Arabidopsis thaliana: one gene and its partner. The protein of the gene in region 1 interacts with the protein of each later gene in a pairwise test. Each region holds a gene or a part of one and is shown in the gene's direction. Other genes may lie near its edges.

Evidence for each region.
Region 2: the proteins of ROPGEF9 (region 1) and RAC10 interact in a two-hybrid assay, tested with the Arabidopsis thaliana proteins (one study listed by BioGRID).

Annotation. Positions count from the first base shown.
Region 1 is NC_003075.7:7,674,010-7,685,296, forward strand, and holds ROPGEF9 (RHO guanyl-nucleotide exchange factor 9), read left to right. Parts: upstream 1-5,940; 5' UTR 5,941-6,143; coding exon 6,144-6,363; intron 6,364-6,465; coding exon 6,466-6,582; intron 6,583-6,679; coding exon 6,680-6,834; intron 6,835-6,917; coding exon 6,918-6,992; intron 6,993-7,068; coding exon 7,069-7,341; intron 7,342-7,469; coding exon 7,470-7,790; intron 7,791-8,012; coding exon 8,013-8,405; 3' UTR 8,406-8,613; downstream 8,614-11,287. Other genes in the region: AT4G13220 (uncharacterized protein), read right to left, coding at 422-568, 655-759, 858-919, 1,050-1,266; AT4G13230 (Late embryogenesis abundant protein (LEA) family protein), read right to left, coding at 1,832-2,053, 2,382-2,441, 2,540-2,620; EDA21 (embryo sac development arrest 21), read right to left, coding at 3,857-4,074, 4,181-4,238; NYC1 (NAD(P)-binding Rossmann-fold superfamily protein), read right to left, coding at 10,408-10,596, 10,691-10,883, 10,960-11,082, 11,156-11,287. UniProt on the Arabidopsis thaliana protein: Guanine-nucleotide exchange factor (GEF) that acts as an activator of Rop (Rho of plants) GTPases by promoting the exchange of GDP for GTP.
Region 2 is NC_003076.8:25,232,891-25,243,737, forward strand, and holds RAC10 (RAC-like 10), read left to right. Parts: upstream 1-4,072; 5' UTR 4,073-4,345; coding exon 4,346-4,450; intron 4,451-4,910; coding exon 4,911-4,998; intron 4,999-5,142; coding exon 5,143-5,252; intron 5,253-5,360; coding exon 5,361-5,424; intron 5,425-5,514; coding exon 5,515-5,579; intron 5,580-5,672; coding exon 5,673-5,738; coding exon of another isoform or gene 5,739-5,809; coding exon 5,810-5,922; intron 5,923-6,012; coding exon 6,013-6,049; 3' UTR 6,050-6,372; downstream 6,373-10,847. Other genes in the region: AT5G62860 (F-box associated ubiquitination effector family protein), read left to right, coding at 151-651; AT5G62865 (uncharacterized protein), read left to right, coding at 1,174-1,677; AT5G62890 (Xanthine/uracil permease family protein), read left to right, coding at 10,833-10,847. UniProt on the Arabidopsis thaliana protein: Involved in local disassembly of cortical microtubules when associated with ICR5 and KIN13A.

The DNA of each region.
Region 1 (11,287 bases):
AAGGTAAAGAATATACATAGGACTTGTTAACAACATGTGAAGCATCCGATAAGAGAGAACATTGCAGGATAAAAGAACCAGAAGAAAAAAAGGTAAAAGAGAGATTAAGCAATGAGAAATGAGAAACTACGCTACGACTTAAACCACATCTGAAAATGTTTCACTCCTATCAAATTAGTCTCAATGATCATTCAAAATCCTGAGAGAGGACTTGCTAGTTGCAGCAAAATTTTCAATGATTGCTAATGCTACAACCGTTTCCCCCAATATATTCCAATGTCGAAACTAATAAAGTTTTGGTATTAGAGGTAACAATTTCTTAAAGAACATATAACATTCCTAAGTATTGTATCTGTATACATTGGAGTTCTGTCTCATGAGCAAAATCTTAAGCTTAAGTTACATGTAAAGAAGACAACGCTTACTTGTACTTGTCCATGATTTTCTTTGCTTCTTCAAGTGGATCATCCATTGACTTAGAACCAGAGCTATTATCATCTCCTCTTAGTTTAGGAGCTTCATCTTTGTTTAAAGCTATGAATAAGAAATATGCAAATCCCATTGTACCCTGCAACACTCACAGAGAATTAGCTTTGCAAACACCTAAAAAAAAATCCTAGAAAAAAGAAAGGGGACACACACAACACAACATACCAATACAAAGAAAGCTGTCGATAGAAACGACTTGACAACAAACAACGAAACCGCCAATGCTGCAATTGTCACAGAGATTCTCGCTACTGGTCTAGGCACAGAAACCTTATAACAAAAAAGTATACTGGTAAACATAACCAAGTATGACTAAAACCATTTAGAGTAGAGTTTGATTAGTGAAGACAAGACTAAAGAGAGCTCACAGGTACAAGATTGGTTCCAGCTTCAATTCCATCTTTCCCAATATTCCACGCAGTTCTAAGAACTGTTCAACAAAATCACACAAACATTATTACTAAACTCTGTTGCAACAATTTCTTCATCAATCAATGACCCTTTTGCTCAATTTCATAGACATAGCTATCAAAAGAACAAAGTGAGGGTAAAGAACAAACCTTTCAAGAAACTGGACTGAGCAGACAAAACAAGGGTTTTGGACCGAAGTCGTTGTGGTTGAAGAGGAGCAATTCGAGTTCTCAAGTTGAGTAAAGATGCGTTTTTTAACTTCAAAACAGAGCATGGAGAGAGGAATGGAGAATTGGGGAATTGGGTTAGGGTTTGTAAGAATCTTGGAGCGAGAGGCGAAGGATTCAAAGATAGAGAAGAAGCCATGACATGTGATTGCTAAAGCCGCTTGATTTACTACTCAGATTCTCTACAAGAAAAGACAAAAATTGGCCTGTTTTAGATAAGAAATTGAGATTGAATTGAAGCTGAGAAACTAATCGGTTTGAGTTCGGTTTGAGTTGAGTTTCGGATCGCTTTCGGTTATTGATAGATTCGTCGGCTAACCGACTGTATAACCGAATAGGAACCGATCATTTTTTTTTTTAATATCTCGACCTTTACATTTCTGAGAGACAGTGAATTCATCTCTTTTGGAGAAGAGATCCCTTCTAACATGCCTCGAACTAATCATCTCCATCTGGAAGATTTATGACTGGACCAATAACTCGTTGACCACTCACAAAAGTTTTCAATCAAGATTTACAAATATATCAAATTATTTTTATTAAAACAAACACATGAGTTTCTATATGATCATATCATAACCCGATTTATTCTTACCTAATAATGCAATATGTTTTCTCGATACAAACCAGAAGTGTAAAACAGATTAAAACAAACTCATTAGGTAAATAACATCTTATTTAATATAGTCAAATTTAGCGTGTTATTATTTGAGGTTCTTGGTGTTCATGCTTCTCTCAACGGTCTTGGCTGTGGCTTTAATAGACTCCTTAGTTTCCTCAGTTTTTCCGGTGACCGTATCTTTGATCTTCTCCGTAGTGTCCTTCACCTTATCCCAGGCCTCCTCTGCAGTGTTCTTTGCCTTATCCTTCAAGTTACCCGCCGCATCGGAGATCGTCTGTGCCCCTTCGTCTGCCTTCTTGGCCACCTACACCAATCATGTTTAGTTTGGATAACGGAAGCATAAAACCAAATGTAAAGACAATTACAAATAAAGAAACAAAACAGATTTTTTCTTTTAATATTGTTTGTTACAAATTTACAATCTATATATTATAACTAACTATTTCAAAAATTAAAACAAAATCTATGTGGTAGTTATAAATGTAAAAGTCAAATACAAACTATACTTAAAATATTCAAACACAAATTTGACATGTAAACGCAAATGCACATTGCAAAAAATGATGTTTAAAACATTAAGGCCACAGTTCTTCTTCTTCTTCTTTTAAACTTTAGGAAAATAGCTAGGATACCTTTTGTTGAGCCTCTGTGGCTTTGTCACAGACGGAGTCTTTCCTCGTAGAAGTAGTCCCCTTAAATCATTTAAAAAAAAATGAAGGATAACTAAAATTTGTTACAAATATTAAATAAATATGTATGATAAATTCATACGAAAAGTAAAAGAGATTACATGGACGAGTCTTGTCGGGACGGAAGCACGAACTCTAGGAGCTCTTGTAATGAGTCTTGCAACGACCGCGAAGCTTGTCATGTCTTAGGCCTCTTCTTTCTGTTGATTAGTAATGTGATTAGTTTGTTAATTAGTTGAGTTTGAAGGATTTAAGTATATATAAGAGAATTGAGAAAATGTATAGGAGATGAGGTGCATGTGAAGAAGACACATGGTTTGATTTGGATGGCATAGTGGGGAGGTTGACTCGGGACATCCGATGGTTCAAGTTTTAATTTGCTATTTAGAGATGTGTTAGTGTGTGACACAATCCTTGGCGTCTGTTTTTCCTTATTTGATGCTTGTTCATTGACCAATTGAGAATAAAAAAATGTTTGCATTACGGAATTTTAGTATCATTCTGGAATAAAGTATGTTTGAGTTAAGACAAATTTTTTTTGTATGTAATGAATATAAAGATGGTAAAAGTAACGTTCACAATTTTTTGTGAAATTAACTAGACGAGAGGATCAATTTATGGCACATGTTTTGATAGTGGTTTTTAGAGATTAGTTTAGTAAAATCTGTTTTACTGAAATTTTCATTTTGCAGTGTTTTTTTTTTGTTTAAAAGATACTGTATTATATTTTTAACGTAAAATTTCAAAAGGAAGCTCACTAATTCTGTTTGAATTTAATTCATTATAATCATTGATATATTAAAATAAGCATATTTGTATAAGATTTTATAATATATTGTGAATGTGTAAAACGGAGAATTCTTGAGTAGGTGGGGTTAGTGAACACATTCTCATCAGAATTCTTTTGACGAATTCGAATAATTCAAGATATCATAAGCTGGGATCCGAAAAATTCAAATAATTCAACTAATCATATATTGGAAATCCAATGGCAATATCACAGTACTACTATACTAACGTTCTTCTTCTTTCATAAAATTAATAATATTTATAACCAAAAATATTTAAAAGATCTACTATGATATGTTTCCCCTAAAAAACATTTCTAAATCCGCCACTAAGTATTTGATCGGATGATCATGCACAACAAGATAATATGAAAATTGAATCAACAAGATAAGTAAGTCACAAGTCATTATCACATCTGTACAACAAATTCAAAGTTTCTTATTAATTTTGAGATAAAACTTTAAAGGATAGTGCTTCTTTTTTTTATGAAACAAACAAAGATATACAAGGCTTACAAGTCCAAACCATTATAAGTAGAATGGACCAACAAGTCAAGTCTAGAATTCTGAACAACACTTTATTATCTCTCCCAACACCAAGAAAGAGGAAATAGGTGAGTTTGATGAAACCTAAGTATATTTACAGACACAAGAAAGATAAGAAGCTTGAGGAGACAATTTCTCACAAAACCCACCAAGATGAAACCCATTAGAGACGCAATATTTGTTGCAACGTGGTAATTTCGCACATTCTCCGGCTACGTACAGCCATTCCGTCCGACCACTCTTCCCATCCCGTCTTCCCGCGGTTGTGCTCATAGTCCGGCCTGGAGTAGTAGCCATCCCTTCTGCATCATCATATCCAAAAGATTTGGTATTTTTCCAAAAGAAAAGAAAAAGATCTTAACCGGAGATAAAGTAATATATTCCATGGATCATACAATTTATATATACCTGAAATTAGAAGAGCAATGTATAAGAAGAGAAAGAGGTAAATGAGCTTCACGGCCATTCTTGTCTTAGTCAAGTGCTCTCTCTTCACTCTTTAATTTGCCTTCGTTTGTAATCTTAATGTTCTTCTAATTATAGCAAAACGCATTATTTTATATCGATATGTGTATGTCCCTAGATTACTTTATCTAGTTTTATATACCTAAACATCGTCTACTTTTGCTGCCAAATAATTTCGACCCGTAAATAGTGCGGAACCATACTTTATTTTAATAAATACATAGCACTATCAACAAAAATATATATTTTGTCGATTACAAATATTTAGAAAGATGACTATGGACTCTAAAGGTTAGGGTCACTAATAAAGTGTAAAAATTTTAAAGAAGGGAAAATGGGTTAGTTGAGTCTTTTACATAAGTTATTCTACTATTGGTATTGCACACAAAGTCAAAAGTATGAGAGGAGACCAAAAAAAAAAAGAAGAAGTCAAAAGTATGAAAGGGGAGACAATAAAAAGATCAAAAGTATGAAAAATGATATTTTAATTTTCTAATTATTATGTTTATATATTGTCCACGTTTCCTATGGGTTCTAAATATTCGGGTGGTTTTTTCGGTCCGTTTGATTTGACAAATCAATATCAAGAAAAGTTGTTTAATAGAACAAAACAGATTCGGAGCGCACAGAACGAAAACATATTACATGATTCGTGAGGAAATAAAAACAAAAACAAGGTTGAACAAATATGAGAACAAGTCTTCCAGGTAAGAACATTCAGCGACCTTTTATGAAATATATAAACTCCAAAAAAGGAGAATCGATAAATTTAAGAAGGAAAATGAAATATTTTCGATAAAAATCTTAATCGATGTATAAAAATATAATTTAAAATATGAACATAAATTTGATAAATACTTATATATAATGCATCAAGAACCGTCCATAAATATAGTATATCATTAAACACACGATGAATCATATACAGAAAAGATATTCGAAAGAGGATAAGGCCGAAATGACGATGTAAAATAAATAGAACTACTAATAAAAAGAAGAAGGATCGGCTGAAAAGAAGAAGAATCGGACTTGTCTTCGAAGTCAGTGTGTACCGACTAAAAATAAAGAGCTCTCAAAGAATGAGCAGCAAGTGGCGTACGTACTCCTCGAAGAATGAAAAGCAAAATACAACGAGTCCCACAACCTGAAGTTTTCCATAAGAAGAATTAGATTATGATACTTATATAAAAATATTTCATTGTTTGCAATTATTTATTTACACAGGTAATAAAAAAAAAGCATAAAGAGAAATATAGTTCACCTTTTTTTAATATAAAAATTCACTCTTTCAAAGCTCATCCAAATTCATCGAAATTTATATAACAATTAGTCCATGCCATGTAATTAAAAGCATCCAAATTCATTTCACTCATTCAGACAAATTTTGAGAAAATTAGAAATACATTGGCAATAATATTTTCTTTAAAAGTTATTTCTGCGAAAATTTTGTTGGTGGATAACTATAAGAACCTAACATAGTTTTGTTTTATGAATGGCCTAGTCTTTGTTTATTGTTGAAATAGTTGCCAAGTTTATCGTCTCTCCCGGGCTTTACGGAAGCACAAACCACTGATTTACCTTTGAACACCAAAGAGAAAAAAAAAAAACTTAAATAAGGTTTCTGCCTATCTATTGATTTACTATTTTGGTATAGAACAAATTTCAAATCCTTAAATCTGTGACACTTTCTCGATTCTTCCTCATTTTCGTGCATCCCACGTTTCCTTGATTTGTCATAATTAAGGCTTCCACAGATTTAGAAAAATTTGTAGTTGCATACTATAATAATCTGTCGAACAATTTACTTTGATTCTCCGTACAATTAAATTCTCTCTCGTTCTTGGGAATATTAAAAGTAAAAAGTTTGTATTTGTAGAGAAGAAAACAAAAGAAAGGTTTTGGTACCATGGTTCCATCGTTGGAACGAGGAATAAGCATCACGAGTTCATTCAATCTTGATAGAATGTTTGATTCCTCACCGGGAAAAGAACAACAACAACCTCATCTCGCGGAAACAACCATGCCGGAGAGTCAAACTCAAGACAGCCTCGGTGGAAGTCCCGTGGAGACTAGCCGCCCGATGACTTCTCGTCTGATTTCCCGTAGACAGGACAAGCAACAATCCGGTGATTAAAGAAGAAGTTTCATTATTTCTGTTCGTTTAAGAACTAAGAACTCTAGAGATATATATCAAAAAGCTTACAATTTTGCGGGTTTAAACATTGTAGAGACGGAGATGATGAAAGATAGATTCACGAAATTACTTCTTGGAGAAGATATGTCTGGTGGTGGTAAAGGTGTATCTTCTGCTTTGGCACTATCAAATGCCATCACGAATCTAGCCGGTAAAAAAGTAACTCTAATAGTTTTTTTTTTTTTAGTTTTCTTCCTCCACAAGTTACATAGAATCAATCTATGGTTTGGTTTAATTTTTATGTGTAGCGTCAATATTCGGGGAACAGACAAAGTTGCAGCCGATGGCACCGGATAGACGAGCGAGGTGGAAGAAAGAGATCGATTGGTTGTTGTCCGTGACTGATCACATCGTCGAGTTTGTTCCATCTCAACAGATTAGTAAGGAAGGAGTCTGCACCGAGGTTCCATTTCTTGAAACTTATAACTATCAATTTCATATTCATCAACATCAGAGATAATATTCTGATTCAATGACTATGTCTAGATTATGGTGACAAGACAAAGAGGTGATCTCCTCATGAACATCCCTGCCCTTCGCAAACTCGACGCCATGCTCATTGTAAGTGTGTCCCTTATATATTATATACATGTATGTTATGCAATAACTTTGATAGAACGATATTGAAACATGTTAGGATACATTGGACAATTTTAGAGGACACAATGAGTTTTGGTATGTATCGAGAGATTCAGAAGAAGGGAAACAAGCACGGAATGAGAGGACAAAGGACAAGTGGTGGCTTCCTCCGGTTAAAGTCCCTCCTAATGGCTTGTCCGAATCAGCCCGAAGAATGCTTCATTTTCAAAAAGATTCAGTCTCACAAGTCCAAAAAGCCGCCATGGCTATTAACGCGCAAGTTCTGTCAGAAATGGCTATCCCTGATAGCTATATCGAGTCTCTTCCAAAGGTGATCTTCCTTTTTTGTCTTAAAACCGGTATATAGTTTGGATGATTTGCTTGCATTTATTTTAAAATATCATATACTATTTTAAGCAAATCAATAATGGTTATTAAGAAGACTTAGATTATTTTCAGAATGGAAGAGTAAGCCTTGGGGATTCGTTATACAAGAGCATAACAGAAGAGTGGTTTGATCCAGAGCAGTTCTTGTCAACACTTGACTTATCTACAGAGCACAAAGTGTTGGATGTGAAGAATAGGATTGAGGCCTCAATCGTTATATGGAAAAGAAAACTTCATCTAAAAGACAACAAATCTTCTTGGGGATCAGCTGTGAGCTTGGAGAAACGAGAGTTGTTCGAAGAGAGAGCCGAGACGATCTTGGTCTTGCTTAAACAAAAGTTCCCTGGTCTTCCCCAATCTTCCCTTGACATTTCCAAAATTCAGTATAACAAGGTAATGCTCAAATGTTATTGCTTTATTTTGTTATTCCGATATGATCGGACAAATCATCATCTAGGAAAGATTCTGAAAATATTGGTGGTCATGAATCATATATAAATTTTTGATATAACATTTTTTAGTAAATTTTAAATAAGATTAACAACACTAACTAACCGTACTTTGGTTGTATATTATATGGTGGTTCATTTGTCACTTTATGTGTTCTAACTATAGGATGTGGGACATGCGGTTTTGGAGAGCTACTCAAGGATATTAGAGAGCTTAGGGTACACGGAAATGTCGAGAATCGACGATGTACTTTATGCGGATTCTTTAGCCCGGAAGCAATGCACAGGTGAAGAAACATCAGATGGTGGGAAAATAGCAACGGAAACGGACTCAGCGTCTGCTGGATCTTCGAACTACTCAGGAGAGGAAATAGAGAAGCTTGAATCACAAAACTCATCAAAGACGACATTGCTTGATTTTATTGGTTGGAGTGACAATAGTTCAAAAGGGCAGTCAGAGAAACCTCCAAAATCTCCGAGAATGACGCCAAAGAAACTCTCATATTTGGAGAAGCTTGAGAACTTAAATGGTTTTAGGAGCCCTAAAGATAGGCATTGAAGATGAATCAAAAGACATGTGAACAACTAAAATGATACAATTGAAGAAGCCATATAAGTGTGTATATTTAGGCAAAAGAATGAAACAATTAGCAATTAACTATTATCTTCCTTCCAGTTTTGTTTCTTGGACAGAGAAGTAAAACAACATGTTACCCCCACATCAATTCTCAATAATTTTGTTTTGATAAAAACAAATCATTTACTATAAAATAAAATAAAAAATTCAGTTACTAATTCATTTTATTGTATAAAAATCATATTGAGAAAATAAAAACAAACTACAAACAGCAGCCACATTTGACTACTTAATTAACAGTTAATTAGTAATATGTTTGAGTACTATGCAGAATATGTAAACTAAAAAAGAAATGTCATCATAATTTTTTCTTTTTGTGTGTGTGCACATGAAGTCGTTTGCTCCGATAAGAAAAAAATTGAGTAGCAAAGATACGATTTTCTTTTAATTTTTGGAAAAATCCAAAAACAAATCCAAAATAATTTTAATTGGACGATTATTATCCGTTATTTTTATATTAGAATAAAAATACCCCAACTAATTATTTGTGATTTTAAAATACTTCATAAATTAATAATTTGTGGAATTAAACTCGTAATTATTTATATACAAAATATATTAAAATTACTAATAATTAGATGAGGTATTTTTATTTTAATACAAAAATATCAGATAATAATCGTCTAAAGATAAATCTCACTTTTTTCTCTTTATTATTTAATATTCTGATCTTTGCGGATGTAATATTTTCTTTATTATTTATAGTATTTATATCCACCATAAAATAAAACATTTATTTATAACACTTTGGACTTTTTTTTGTTGAAATTTTCGTTTTTTTTTTCGTTTTTTTATCATAGAATTGATAAATAAAAATAGAAATGTAACTTTGGAAAATAGAGTTTGCATTAAGAGTTTGTATAACTAATTTTGACTACTCAAAACCATATTTACTTAAAAGATTATGATTTTAAATTTTGTGAATCCAAAGTTTCGGCCGGTTTTAACGGTTTAACCCAAATCCAGTTTTTAACTTAAATCCAAACTCGGCTACATGAACGATTTCTAATTTGATAGTAAGCCCTGGTAAAGCCCAAACTATGATAAGCCCAACAACGTCCGTAGCGGTGTGTGATGTTGAGCACCGTCAGATGTAACAGTGGACACGTGTCAGAATCTTAACGAGTGAGAAAACCCTAGCGCTCCATATTTATTTTCTGTATAAAAACCCAAAGAGAGAGAGAAGCTTATCATCTCTCAAGCTACAAATTGCTCTCGTAATCAAATCCTTATACTTTCTCCAACCCTTACTTTTGTTATTGTCGTATTACAAAATTGTTTTTTTTTTTCTTCCGGACAGTGACGATTGATATTTAAGGTCTCGTTCGTCGTAAAAACGGCCGTAAAAAGCCTATTTGCCGACCATTCTGTTATATCACCACCCATATTCTGAGTCCTACTTTTTGACTTTTGTTTTTCAATCTTTCTTCTAATCGATTTTTTTGGCCAATGATTTAATCAAAAAAATAGACAAGCATATGTCTGAATTAATCCTTGTTGATAAAATCTAATCTTCTCTATGAGGCCAAACAATCTTTGGTTTGTTTTTGTTTATTTGGAAAAAAGGGTCAAGTGATGATTAATAATGCATAGTTCAAATGATCTCCATGATTACTATTCAGTAGCACAGTCTTTCGCTCCTATCTGATGGCCCTCCACTTTTTTTATTGATGCAATGTTATTGGAGCTGTGTTTTTTTAACTCCGCTTAATGGGCCTTTAAAGGCCCAACTAGTGAAAACTAGAAAATACTACAATCTGATAAAAGTTTATTACAATCTATTTTTTCATTGTTTTCAACAACGACACATTCTACAACTATAAGAAGTGTTTACATGAACAAATCGGTTCTGTTATATATATGTTTTTTATACATAACATGTACGTTTACAATTTTCTTAAAACACATCCGAGGAAGATGTTTGTTATGTGCCTGGAAAAGAGCTAGGTGTTGTGCTTTGTAAGATGATGAAAGCGCAAACAACAGAAAGAGAGAAAACAGAGACCCAAGTATTCTCTGTATACATCTCCATCGCGTCTGTTAACGACAACCTCGTCCTGTTCTCTGCCCAGTTCCTTAGTCTATCTGCTTCTGCTGCATATAACGCCCGTCCCTGCAAACACGTACACATCTTTGCGTCAGCTCAGGCTTAACCAAGTGAAGGATTTGTCAAAAAACTTGAACTAGAACTCAAGTGTAACACTTACTTGGTCATCAAACCATCGGCCTCTCCTTAGCCAGGAAGTGACAATAGCTAACAATATCCGAGGAGGAGTTAGGTAATTGACGGCTTTTCCCGAACCTTTCACAACTCGCATTCGTGGTACCAAAGTTCTAGCTACTGTCTCAGGAAGCTCACAGATTATGTTAAACATCTGCTTGTTTTTAATGCTCGAACCACTGCCAAATAAATGGTTGCTTCAATAAAACTCCGGAGCATTCTGTTCTAGGCCTTAGTGACAAAGTGTATGCATACCTGAGAAGAAGTTCTGTCAGAACCATGCCAGGGGATGCAGTGTGAAGGCCAACGTTTGTTTTTTGGCTTTCTTTCACTATAGACCCATGAAACTGCCTAAGTCCACATTTTGTTGAACCATATCTGCGAAAGCTCACAGACTCAGAAATGTGTTCTAATTCATTAGAGACTAGTAACGAATGATTTGAGTTCTTACACGGCAGTGAGAGGAGTACTTGAACCTCCAGAGCCAGCACCATCCATGTTAAAGATGTGTCCACCACTGTGCTGTCTGCTCATCACATCCATAGCCCCTCGTGTACATAGAATTGATCCAATCAAATTTGTG
Region 2 (10,847 bases), on another chromosome or scaffold:
CATTCATATACCCAGACAAAGACAGTAATTATACATTAAACCATGGGCGAAGTTGGGATTTTAAGTATCAATAATTTTCGAGGACTCTTCTGTTGTTGGTCAAGCTCGATCTATAAACATACCAATAGGAAAACGATTTTATTACCGGAGGTAAAACACGATAGATGGAGCAACTCGTGTGATGGATTGTTCGGATATGATCCAGTTGAGAAACAAGTTTTCACATTAGTGGGAGGTCCAATGAAGCAGCAATGGAGGAGCCTTGACATCCAAGGCATTTGGAATCACTCTCCAGAAGCTAGGAGTAGTGGTTTATGTATCAAAGAGTTTATCTATTACATAGCACATGTAGAAAGCTGGGATGATCCCGAATTCTATGAGCTAGTGAGGTTCGACGTTAGACACGAAAGCTTTGATCGTATTCAGATGCCCATAACTCTGCAGATGAATCAGCAGCTCAGTGAAGTGAGTTTCGATGAATTGACTTTGGTAAACTACCAAGGAAAATTAGGATGCATACGTTACACCAAAGCTAGTGCAGAGATGTGGATTATGGAAGATCATATTGAGCAACAAGAATGGTCTAAGATGATGATATTTGAGAAATTAGGTATTGCATCGCTGGTGTCAGTCCTAATGGTGAGATTGTGATAATGCCAAAGACAGTGACATCTGCTCAATCTTTGTACCCCTCGTACTATGATCCGAAATGTTAGTTTGTTGTACCCGCCGGATCACATTTGTTCAACTCGTTCCCTTAGTGAATAGTAGTTTTTATAATAAATATCAATTTTGTTTTATCAAGTGTATTCCTAAAAACATTGTTAGGAAAGTAACTATCTTATAACGGATTCTAGCTCAAGATATTTATTTTTTCTAAGACTCGTTTTCACCAGCCTAAGAAATTGTTTAACACTTTTTATGATTCTCAATCGTGTTGATCGATAATTGAGTTTCTAAGGTTTTAATATTTACAGCCATGATTCGTAAAAGTGTCAAGTGTGCATATAATAACATAGAAAAAATAACAATTTCTTAATTTATATTACAAGTGTCAAGTGTGCATATAATAAATAGGACCAATCATAATCCTTTACAGCTAAAACTTGAATCAAGTTATATTATCATCACGAGTCTTTTGACCCAAGAAAAAACTTCTCTGAGTTTCGGCCCATGGAACTTTCGCAGTCGGACCCAACCCGAGATCCTGATACCCGGTACGATCAACGTTGCTGTTGTTTCCCCAGCTTCCGCCGATCAAGAAGCTCCACCGCCGTTGGTTACTCCTCCTGGGGACGAATTCGAACCGTCGATGACAGTAATCACAGCGGCGACCACGGCGACGAGCCACGTTGGTGGATCCGAGCATCCTTGAAGATCCGAGAGTGGTCAGAAATCGTTGCTGGTCCACGGTGGAAGACTTTCATTCGTCGATTCAATCGCGATCCACGACGCGGCCGCGATTGGGACGCAAGCGAGAAGTTTCAATACGATCCTTTGAGTTACTCTTTGAACTTCGATGACGACGACGAGGAGGATGAATACGTCGGACTAGGTGGATTACGAAGCTTCTCGACCCGATTCGCTTCTGTCCCGGTTTACTCAGGTAAAGCTCCGGCGATTTCGCCGACGTCGTTGTCTGCGTTGACGCCGCGTAATGAGATCATTGAAAGTTAGTGGGCGCGTGTGAGAAACGCGTTTGCGTTTCTGGCGGCGGGGAAAAGGCTGTCAAAATGGTTGACTGGTTTGGTTTACATCGTTTTTGGAGTCTGTCGCGTTTTCTTATTTAATCATTCTGTTTATATAATCAACTTTGAATTAATTTTATTATTTTCCCAGTTTAATTAATTTATTTATCAACCAAATTTTATGTTTCTTGAAAGAGAAGCAATATTTTGTTTCTTTTTTGAGGGGATATTGAACTTGTTGTGGCTAATATAATATAATTTTATGTAAATTAGCTGTTTAGCATATGTGGAAGTAATGATTTAGTTAATCATGGTTGCTTGACATGATTTCTTTATTTTTATAATCTATACTCATTTTTAAAATTCCACTCAAAAACTTTTCTGTTTTCCAAAGATATAGTTACCGTTAAAGCCGAGTAAAGAGAAGAAACTATCAATCGTTTGGGGTAGTATGTAATGAACCAACAACACTTTTCCCAATTCAAACTTCAAACCTTTCTATTGGAAGCCATAAACGAATGACGATCATTGATCAAAACATTCAAATACATTTTTTCGTTTCTCTCAATTTATTAAGGAACTACATAACGATTTACATGTTCTAGAGAGAAAACTGTACCGAAGAATCGATTCACCTTCAGATTCATAAGAATGGTTCAAAATTCATAAGACCAAAAGAAACAGCAAATTAAAGAAAACAATAAAAGAAGGGACCGATAGGAACAAAGAGGGAGAAAACACGTGACCTGGCAAGGGACTTCCATTACGTGGGTCGGCTCGTTTCGGATGTGGCCCATATATTGAGTTGTCGGGCCCGTTGCATTTGTTTGTTGAGTTCATATGATATATTCGAAAAAACTTTTACTTTTTCAATATTAACCCAACTTCAAATCCAATAACCATATTTCTTACTGCCAAAACTCGGATTTGTGATCTTCAAGTCTTTTTCACTTTATGGATAATTTCCACTGTTAATCACGTTTTGCTTTTACGCGCATCAACTGTTGTGGAAATATATATTTATCGTTTGTTCTTGTTTCTTTTCAATGACGCTATCCTTACACCAGCACGACATATGCTCCTGTTACATGTCTTCCTTAGAGACCAAAAGTTATGGATTCACTTGTACACACATACACATATATTGATTTAGTTTAATGTGATTACTAGTCTCCTTTTGCGATTTTCGTTCTTACTAGTCTCTATATTTATCTGGTTTAGGCCATACTTTTGTCATTGTATTGTATTATTAATCAGCTACTTTAATTTGTACTTGTATTTTGGAGCTTTTGGTGGAAATAACTTGCAAAATACTAAAATATTGGACCAGAGAGCGATAAGTTCCCGTGGTCGTCCTTTTGAAGACCTCTCTAGTTAACAATACTTTTGCATTTTCATATTTATGGTGGTTGCGTCGCCGTCGATATAGTCGTAGGTATTACTCCAATAATTAACTTACCTTATAAAATAAAATCATTTATCTTCTGCTTTTGGTAGATGTTCACACAGTTTGGCTCCAACATCCACCTATAAATGATTATTTAAACACATGACAAAAACACTTTTACTTTCTAAACCATGAGTCTGCAATTATATCCATAAACAAACAAAAAGGAACTATTTGGTAAGAGTATTCAATTTTTAATAACTGTATTAAAAGTTGCTTTGTGAATATTGAGAATTTTTATTGCTGGTTGTTGCCAACGAAACTCTTGTTGGCAATTTTAAATATCTTGAGTAAATTAAATTAGATGATAAGTTTTTTTAAAAGTAGGTCCACATAAAAAAATCCATATATCCTAATATAATAAATGAATATCCTAAACTAAAATTACAATTTTAGAATTATCAGTTTTACACTTGTGAATTGTGATATAAGTAATGTTGAAAGGTTGGTCTTAGTGATTTTGCTATAAATTTTTGTTGCTATGATATTCTATTATTTTATATATTTTGTAACCCTAGCTTGTAAGTTATGCTATATACATTATATGATATGTAAGTCTCGAGAGAAAAACAAAAATAGCAAAACATGTATTCGACAGTACATGTTAATGTATACAAATATGGTATATCCATCTTCACTTGTCACTGTGTGGCTCAACGTGACACTATTATTAACTTGACGAATATCTACCTTCTCTTATAATTCGATTCGTAACGCCATACTTGTATGTAATACACATTATTTCATTTTCTTACAATCCAATACAAGTGTAATAAACACTTAAAAAAAAAAAAACAAGATTGAACCACCAAGATTTGGTTAACAAATTCCAATGCAAATTTGCTCGTTGGAGTAATAAATGAACTACAAGAATTTGGAAAAGGAAAGCTTGGACGATGGATCATGTGAGTCATCACCGCTCTTTCTCTATCTTCAAGTTCAAACCAAAAACAAGCCACCAAATACCAATAAACAATTTCGTTTATCTAATTGGAAATATTGAAAAAACAAACAGAAAAAAGTAAAAAAGGAACAGAAAAAAAAGCCATAAATTTATGCAACAAACCCTACCTTCTTCTATGCTCTAAAGAGGGTTTATTTATCTTTTACTCCTCTTTTTAAGTAATCTCACTTCATTTATCTCTCTCTCTCTCTCTATTTCTTTTGCTTCCTTTTGGTATTTGCTTTGTATGTTTGTTTTGAGATCAAAATGGCTTCAAGTGCTTCAAAGTTCATCAAGTGTGTGACTGTTGGTGATGGTGCTGTTGGTAAAACCTGTATGCTCATCTGCTACACCAGCAATAAATTCCCCACTGTAAGTTCTCTTTAAAAAGACCTCTCTTTCTCTCTTGAATTTTGATCAGGAATCTCATCTGGATTTATCAGATTTAGCTCAAATTTTACAAAATTTTAATCAATTTCAGTATCTGGGTCTACTAAATTTCAGCTTCTTATTGCCATAAAGGTTCTTAGAATCTATCTGGGTATGTCAAAGTTAGCTCCTTTTTCCTAGGAACTGTGCATGATATAAGATCCATTTTTGGAGATTTTGATTTTTTTTACTTTTCATAAGTATGTGTGGCGCATCTGGGTTTTTGCAGCTTTTGTGTATAGTCCAGCTTTATGTTATCTTTTTTCATTTAACATCCTCTGGAGTCTGGATTCGTCAGACTTTTTCTTCATTGCTATTATTATTATTATTATATGTATATATGCTTGATTTGATGATTGAAAGTTTGAAACTGTGTATTGATTTGATGAATTGTTTGTAACAGGACTACATACCAACAGTTTTTGACAACTTTAGTGCAAATGTTGTTGTTGAAGGCACCACTGTCAATTTGGGGCTTTGGGACACTGCTGGTATGAACACTCTTTCTGAGTCTTGAATCCTATAGTGGTTTATAACATTCTTATTGGTCTAGTTCTTTCATTTGGTTGATAAATGAGATCCATTGAATAGCTTTGTCTCATATGAGGTTACATATGTATATCCTTTGTTTGCAGGGCAAGAAGACTATAACAGATTAAGGCCTTTAAGTTACAGGGGAGCAGATGTTTTCGTCTTGTCTTTCTCATTAGTCAGCCGAGCTAGCTACGAGAATGTTTTTAAAAAGGTCTGATTGAATAAATGATCCTTTTCTCTAATTGTTGAAAACGATAAGACTCTTATAGTGTCAGAATGAGTCATTTCTAATGTTATATGACTGTTCTTATTGAGTCAGTGGATCCCTGAACTCCAACACTTTGCTCCAGGAGTTCCCCTTGTCCTTGTTGGTACCAAATTAGGTAAGAATAACCGATGAGCATTTACCAACAGATTCCTCTTAACCGTTTAGTTACAATTCATAGCTAATGATTCTTACAACACTGGTGTAGATCTTCGTGAAGATAAGCATTATTTGGCTGATCATCCTGGACTATCCCCTGTAACTACTGCACAGGTTTAGTCTTAAAGAGCCTTTTTACTTTAGATTTCATATAATTCCACTATAAGGCTTGATGGTATTAACTAAATGAACATTTCTATCTGATAGGGAGAGGAGTTGCGTAAGCTAATTGGTGCGACGTATTACATTGAGTGTAGTTCAAAAACTCAACAGGTATATGAGGCAGCTTCTTTATGTTACTCTTTTCTTCGGATTAACAAAGCGATGAAGTTTATATATTGCAGAATGTGAAAGCAGTTTTTGATTCTGCGATAAAGGAAGTGATCAAACCTCTGGTTAAACAAAAGGAGAAGACTAAGAAGAAGAAGAAGCAAAAGTCGAATCACGGCTGTTTATCGTGAGTATATATACAAATCTTTACAAACTCTGCATCTACAATCTTATGAAGGGTACTGATTTCACCTTTGTGTTTATTTTGTATGTGCAGAAATGTTCTGTGTGGGAGGATAGTGACTCGGCATTGATGACGATGACCCAACTCAGTCTGATGATTTTAAACTCCACTTTTGAGATTGTGTGATAAACGAGAGACTTTATATTATATAGATTGAATCATGTAAGAGATTATTAGCCTCTAATCAATCAATAGTTACCTTGAAGAGAGAAAGAGGGGGAGGTAGAGAGCTTATTATTAATTCAATTGTGTTTATTTGTTTCAAACCTGTTATTGCAATATATTAGCCATTTTGATACAACAGAGAAGCTCTCTCTTCCTTCGCTTAACCCTGTGAAGACAAGCAGTTATTGTCCTACATTAGCAATCAAGTAATTTTATTTTGTTTGTTAATGTTGATCTCTTGTCGTTACATTGTCCAGTGTCAGTCAAATCACTGTCCTCAAAGTACAACTGACCAAACTTTGTCTCTCTTGACATAGACATTAAAACTTTCTACATAAGAGTCTCATATTTCAGTAGTCGCAGGCTAATTCCAGTCGGTTCCAATGACACATTGTCTTCAAGATTTTGAGACAGCAGTTCCAAAGGTTTTTTTATCTTCCACCTGACCAAAAAAAGGAGATTAAGCCATAAAAAGATGGAAGCGACGAACTCAGTCGAAGACTTTCCGATGAGACTCGAGTACACGAGAAACGACCACTGGACTCACCAGACCAGTCCCAAAGGCAAATAAATAACGGAGTAAAAAAAAAAAAAAAAACGCCGAGTTTCATCTAAACATAATAGAACAAATGTCAATGGGTCCGAGAGAGCCTGTAAGAGCATAAATGGGCTTTAATCGGGCCAAATTAAATGTAACTCTTTCTGTTGTTGTTTTTCCGGTGTACCTCTCTCTGTTTTTTTTTTAGCTCTTTTTGGAAAAAGCAACTTTTTCTTGATTTCTTTTTGACGTGAAAGCAGGCTTTTCTGTTAGGCAGATAAAAGCATATTTTTATTACTTAAGACCATTTCCTTCGTAAAAGAAAGCAAAAGAAATATATAAACCGGACAAGGTTAAAAGATATGCGACACTTACACATCAAGTCATAAATTAGAAACAACAAGAACATGATTACTTATTTATTTGAGTTGGTGAGATCGGAGTTACAACACACAAGTTTCTATTGGGTATGGGGAAGAGAGAATGACAGGAAGAGCAGGGAGAGGGCTCGTTAATCTAAACCAACCATGACCCAAGTAGCCAACCTTTTTTTTTCCTCTTCAAAATTTCACATTCTTTATTCGAGATTATACTACTTATAAAGTATAATAACTAGCTCATTCAAACAAAACAAAAAGTGCTGTAAGGATAACACTATCAACGCGTGTTAAGAAAAGTAACACTTTTGAACTTCTTTTTACCATTGACAAATTTTAATAGTTACAACCATGTCATTGCTTTATTTAACAATTTTAAAAAGGAAATCTAAAATGTACATAAACCTTTAGCTAATTTACAAATATATCATATTCTTAATGCATCTACAACAACCATATTATGAACTCTAAATACTAGGATTTGTAACCGGATTCGGTTTATTTGGACTACAAAGAGTAAAAATGGACTTTGTCCATCTCATCTAGCCAATGTTTTATAAGATTCTATATTGGGTGCATCATGCATGTGTCTCTCTTGCTCACACCCTACATCTACCCATCGTTTCAGCCACAATTATGTATATATTTTTTTGTCTTCAACATTTTAGCTCATATGCACCAAATTTTCATGAAAATGTTTGTTTATCAATCATATTCATCATGTGTTGTTAGCCATTAATTTCGATGAGATTGCAAATCTTGAAAAAAAAAATGGAATTATGTGGGGGAAAAAGTAAAGAATGGCACATGAAGAGAGTTTTGCGTAATTCCCAAAAGTAAAGCCAGAAAGATTTTTCTCCCACCCCATGTGCTTACTCTCCCCAGTCCCCACTTTTTCTTAATTAAATTCATATTTCTTCCATTTTTATTTTTCGGCTTTTAATTTCTTAGCATACTTTTAAAAAAAAAATATTGTCACACTTTTTAGGCCGATTTTGACTGAGTTACACAGGTCAATAATGCTCCCAATTCGGCGGACTATAGTTATTTTAGTGGACATTTGTGTTAACTAATTTTGTGGCAAAAAGAAACTCGGAACAAATTAAACCATAACTGATTTAGACTAAATTATATAATGTAATGGCCATTATGTATTAACTAAAGACAAAAGTAATACTACGATCTACGATAATACAAAAAAAAAATTCAGAATATCGCGTCATTATCAACTTGACACCAACTTGTGAGTCTCCCAAACTCAATGATTATGTGGTCATTATCGGTGGTGTTTTTAAAAAATACTATGAAAACTCGCTCTCACTAATATCAAGTGGCTTACACACTTGATTGACTAATCAATAGTTTATCACTACTACTATAATGTTTCAGGCTAGATTTTCCATCACGTGCCAAAAAATTCCTTCAAACAATTTAGCAAGCTAACCATCAAATTTAATTACGAATTTTTTTCTTTCATATCCACGTGGCGGATATTCAAACTTAATTATGTGTAACATATGAATGACGTAAATAATCTATGCACATCTCGTTTTACTGTTGTGTGTTGCTTTAAAGGCTATCATGGATAACGTGTGTATATGACCTTCGAGAAAATTTTGAAGAGATCCATTCAACAAAACATGCATGACATTTTGAATATATCCCAATTATTAAAGACTCAATAATTTTCAGAAGTATATTTTGGGTATAAACAGGTAACCGTACGTGTTGCTACACTTGCTATTGTCCATCTATAATGTGAAAAATATCAATTTAAACATTACTGTTTTTATGTAGTTTTTAGTTCATGTAGTATTTGATTATCTGGAGAAGAAGAAAAAAAGATGATAAATAAAAAAATTGTCGGCAATAGAAAACTGAGTTTAGGTCAAAATAGTTATGTACTATAGTTATTACCGACGTAAACACTGATAAATTGAAAACGATGCATCACTGGTTTTTGACAAAATGTCGAATTAGAACAAACATGACTCAGTGTATTAGAAAGTCAAAATATACACATTTCCTCTTGAATAGTAGTATTAGCTTGATAACTTTGTTTATCTTAATGAAATCGTATTAAAGAAGTTTAGTGCCGAGATTAAATCTCGAGTCCTATCACTCTATCAGGCACTAGAATATATAATGTCCCACTAAATTCGATAACAAATTATCTTTAAAGTTAAAGTATCTTTATAATTGTTTTTATATATGGATCACGGGACTACAAGAAAAAAAGTAGACGTGACAATTATCTTTTCTGTGTTTTTTTCTCGTTATCTCTAGTTTTGTTTGATGCGTATGTATATAATTTGGACAATACTATAATAAAGTATGCTTAATAAGATTCTCCAATCGTTTTTATATTATTCTTAATATAAAATCAAAAGAGATTGATGATTTCAAATGATGCCTACAAAGAATAACATCCGTGTCGTTAATAGAATTCACAAGGAATTTATATATTCTAATGTACATTCGACTTGAAATCAAAATCATATGGACATTAAACAAAAAAAAAAAAACTAGAAAAGGATTAAAAAGAGTAAAGTAAAATTTTGATGGTTCGAAATTAGACCAAAGCGTATGAAACATCATCTTTTGAGTACCATATATTTTGCAACTTCAACTAATTAAGAGTGTAGTATAAGCTGGGAGTTTTGGAACTCAAACATCATAATCCATTCCATCATCTCTAAACTTGGGAAAAAATCCCACAGCTACCGTATTATATTTGGGAAATCGTATAAACCAAAATAAGAAAGTTGTTAATTTTTTTTAACTATAATTAACCCGACACTTAGAAATGTGTATCAAAAAAGTAATGCAAGAATTATCATTGACAAGTTTCAACAACAGAATTATTGAAAGATTTACTTTATTTGAACAAATCTCACTATTAACTTTGTTTTTGTCAAGCCTCTAGAGATAGGTTAAAACTTTAACAAACTTTACTTAACAAGAAAAGACTATGACTTTTCAAAATGCAATAAAAATACTTTAAAGAAGAAAAGATTCCTCTCGTCTCTTCCTTTGTTCACATCACTTTCATCTTTATTTTCTTTATTAATTAATCATTTATTACTCCTCTTTCAAAAACAAACATTTTTTATTTATAAAAAATTCATACGGCGCTAATTTCACCACCGCTCTTCCTAATTGATTCTTCAAAATCCATGATTACTATTGACCCCCAAACAAAAATAATATAAATCTGATACTATTTGGTTAGCTTTAAGCATATAATTCTCATCTATAACTCCAATCACCAAATCAAGAACCGCCTTTAGTTAATAAATTGTTCATTAATTTTGCTAACAACAATATTTGTCCACATTACACGTTCCATTCATAAAAAAATTGACTCCAATATTAATTGTATTTTTTTACACCTCGAGTTTTGCAGAAAAATAAATAAAAGCTCACATTTTTATTTTCTCCCTCTCTCTCTCTCTGTGTCTGTGTATGTGTGGCTTTACCTTTTGTACCTAAACCTCTCACACTCTCTCTCTCTGGCTTGCTGTTTACTCTCATCGTCTCCTTTACTTCATTCGTCTTCTTCCTCTCTTTCCCACAAGCTCCCATTGATGTGAGTTTCTTATCACTTTTCTTTTTCCGATTTGTCAATTCCTTTTTTGCACTGATTTGTGCTTCGCTTACACATTGCTAGTAGATTCCCCGATCTGGGTTTTTTCTTATTCGTGTTCATCATACTAAAGTTTGGTGCTTTTTTGTGTTTGTGTAGATAGAGAGAGAGATTTAAGGAAGGAATCATGGCAGGGGGTGGA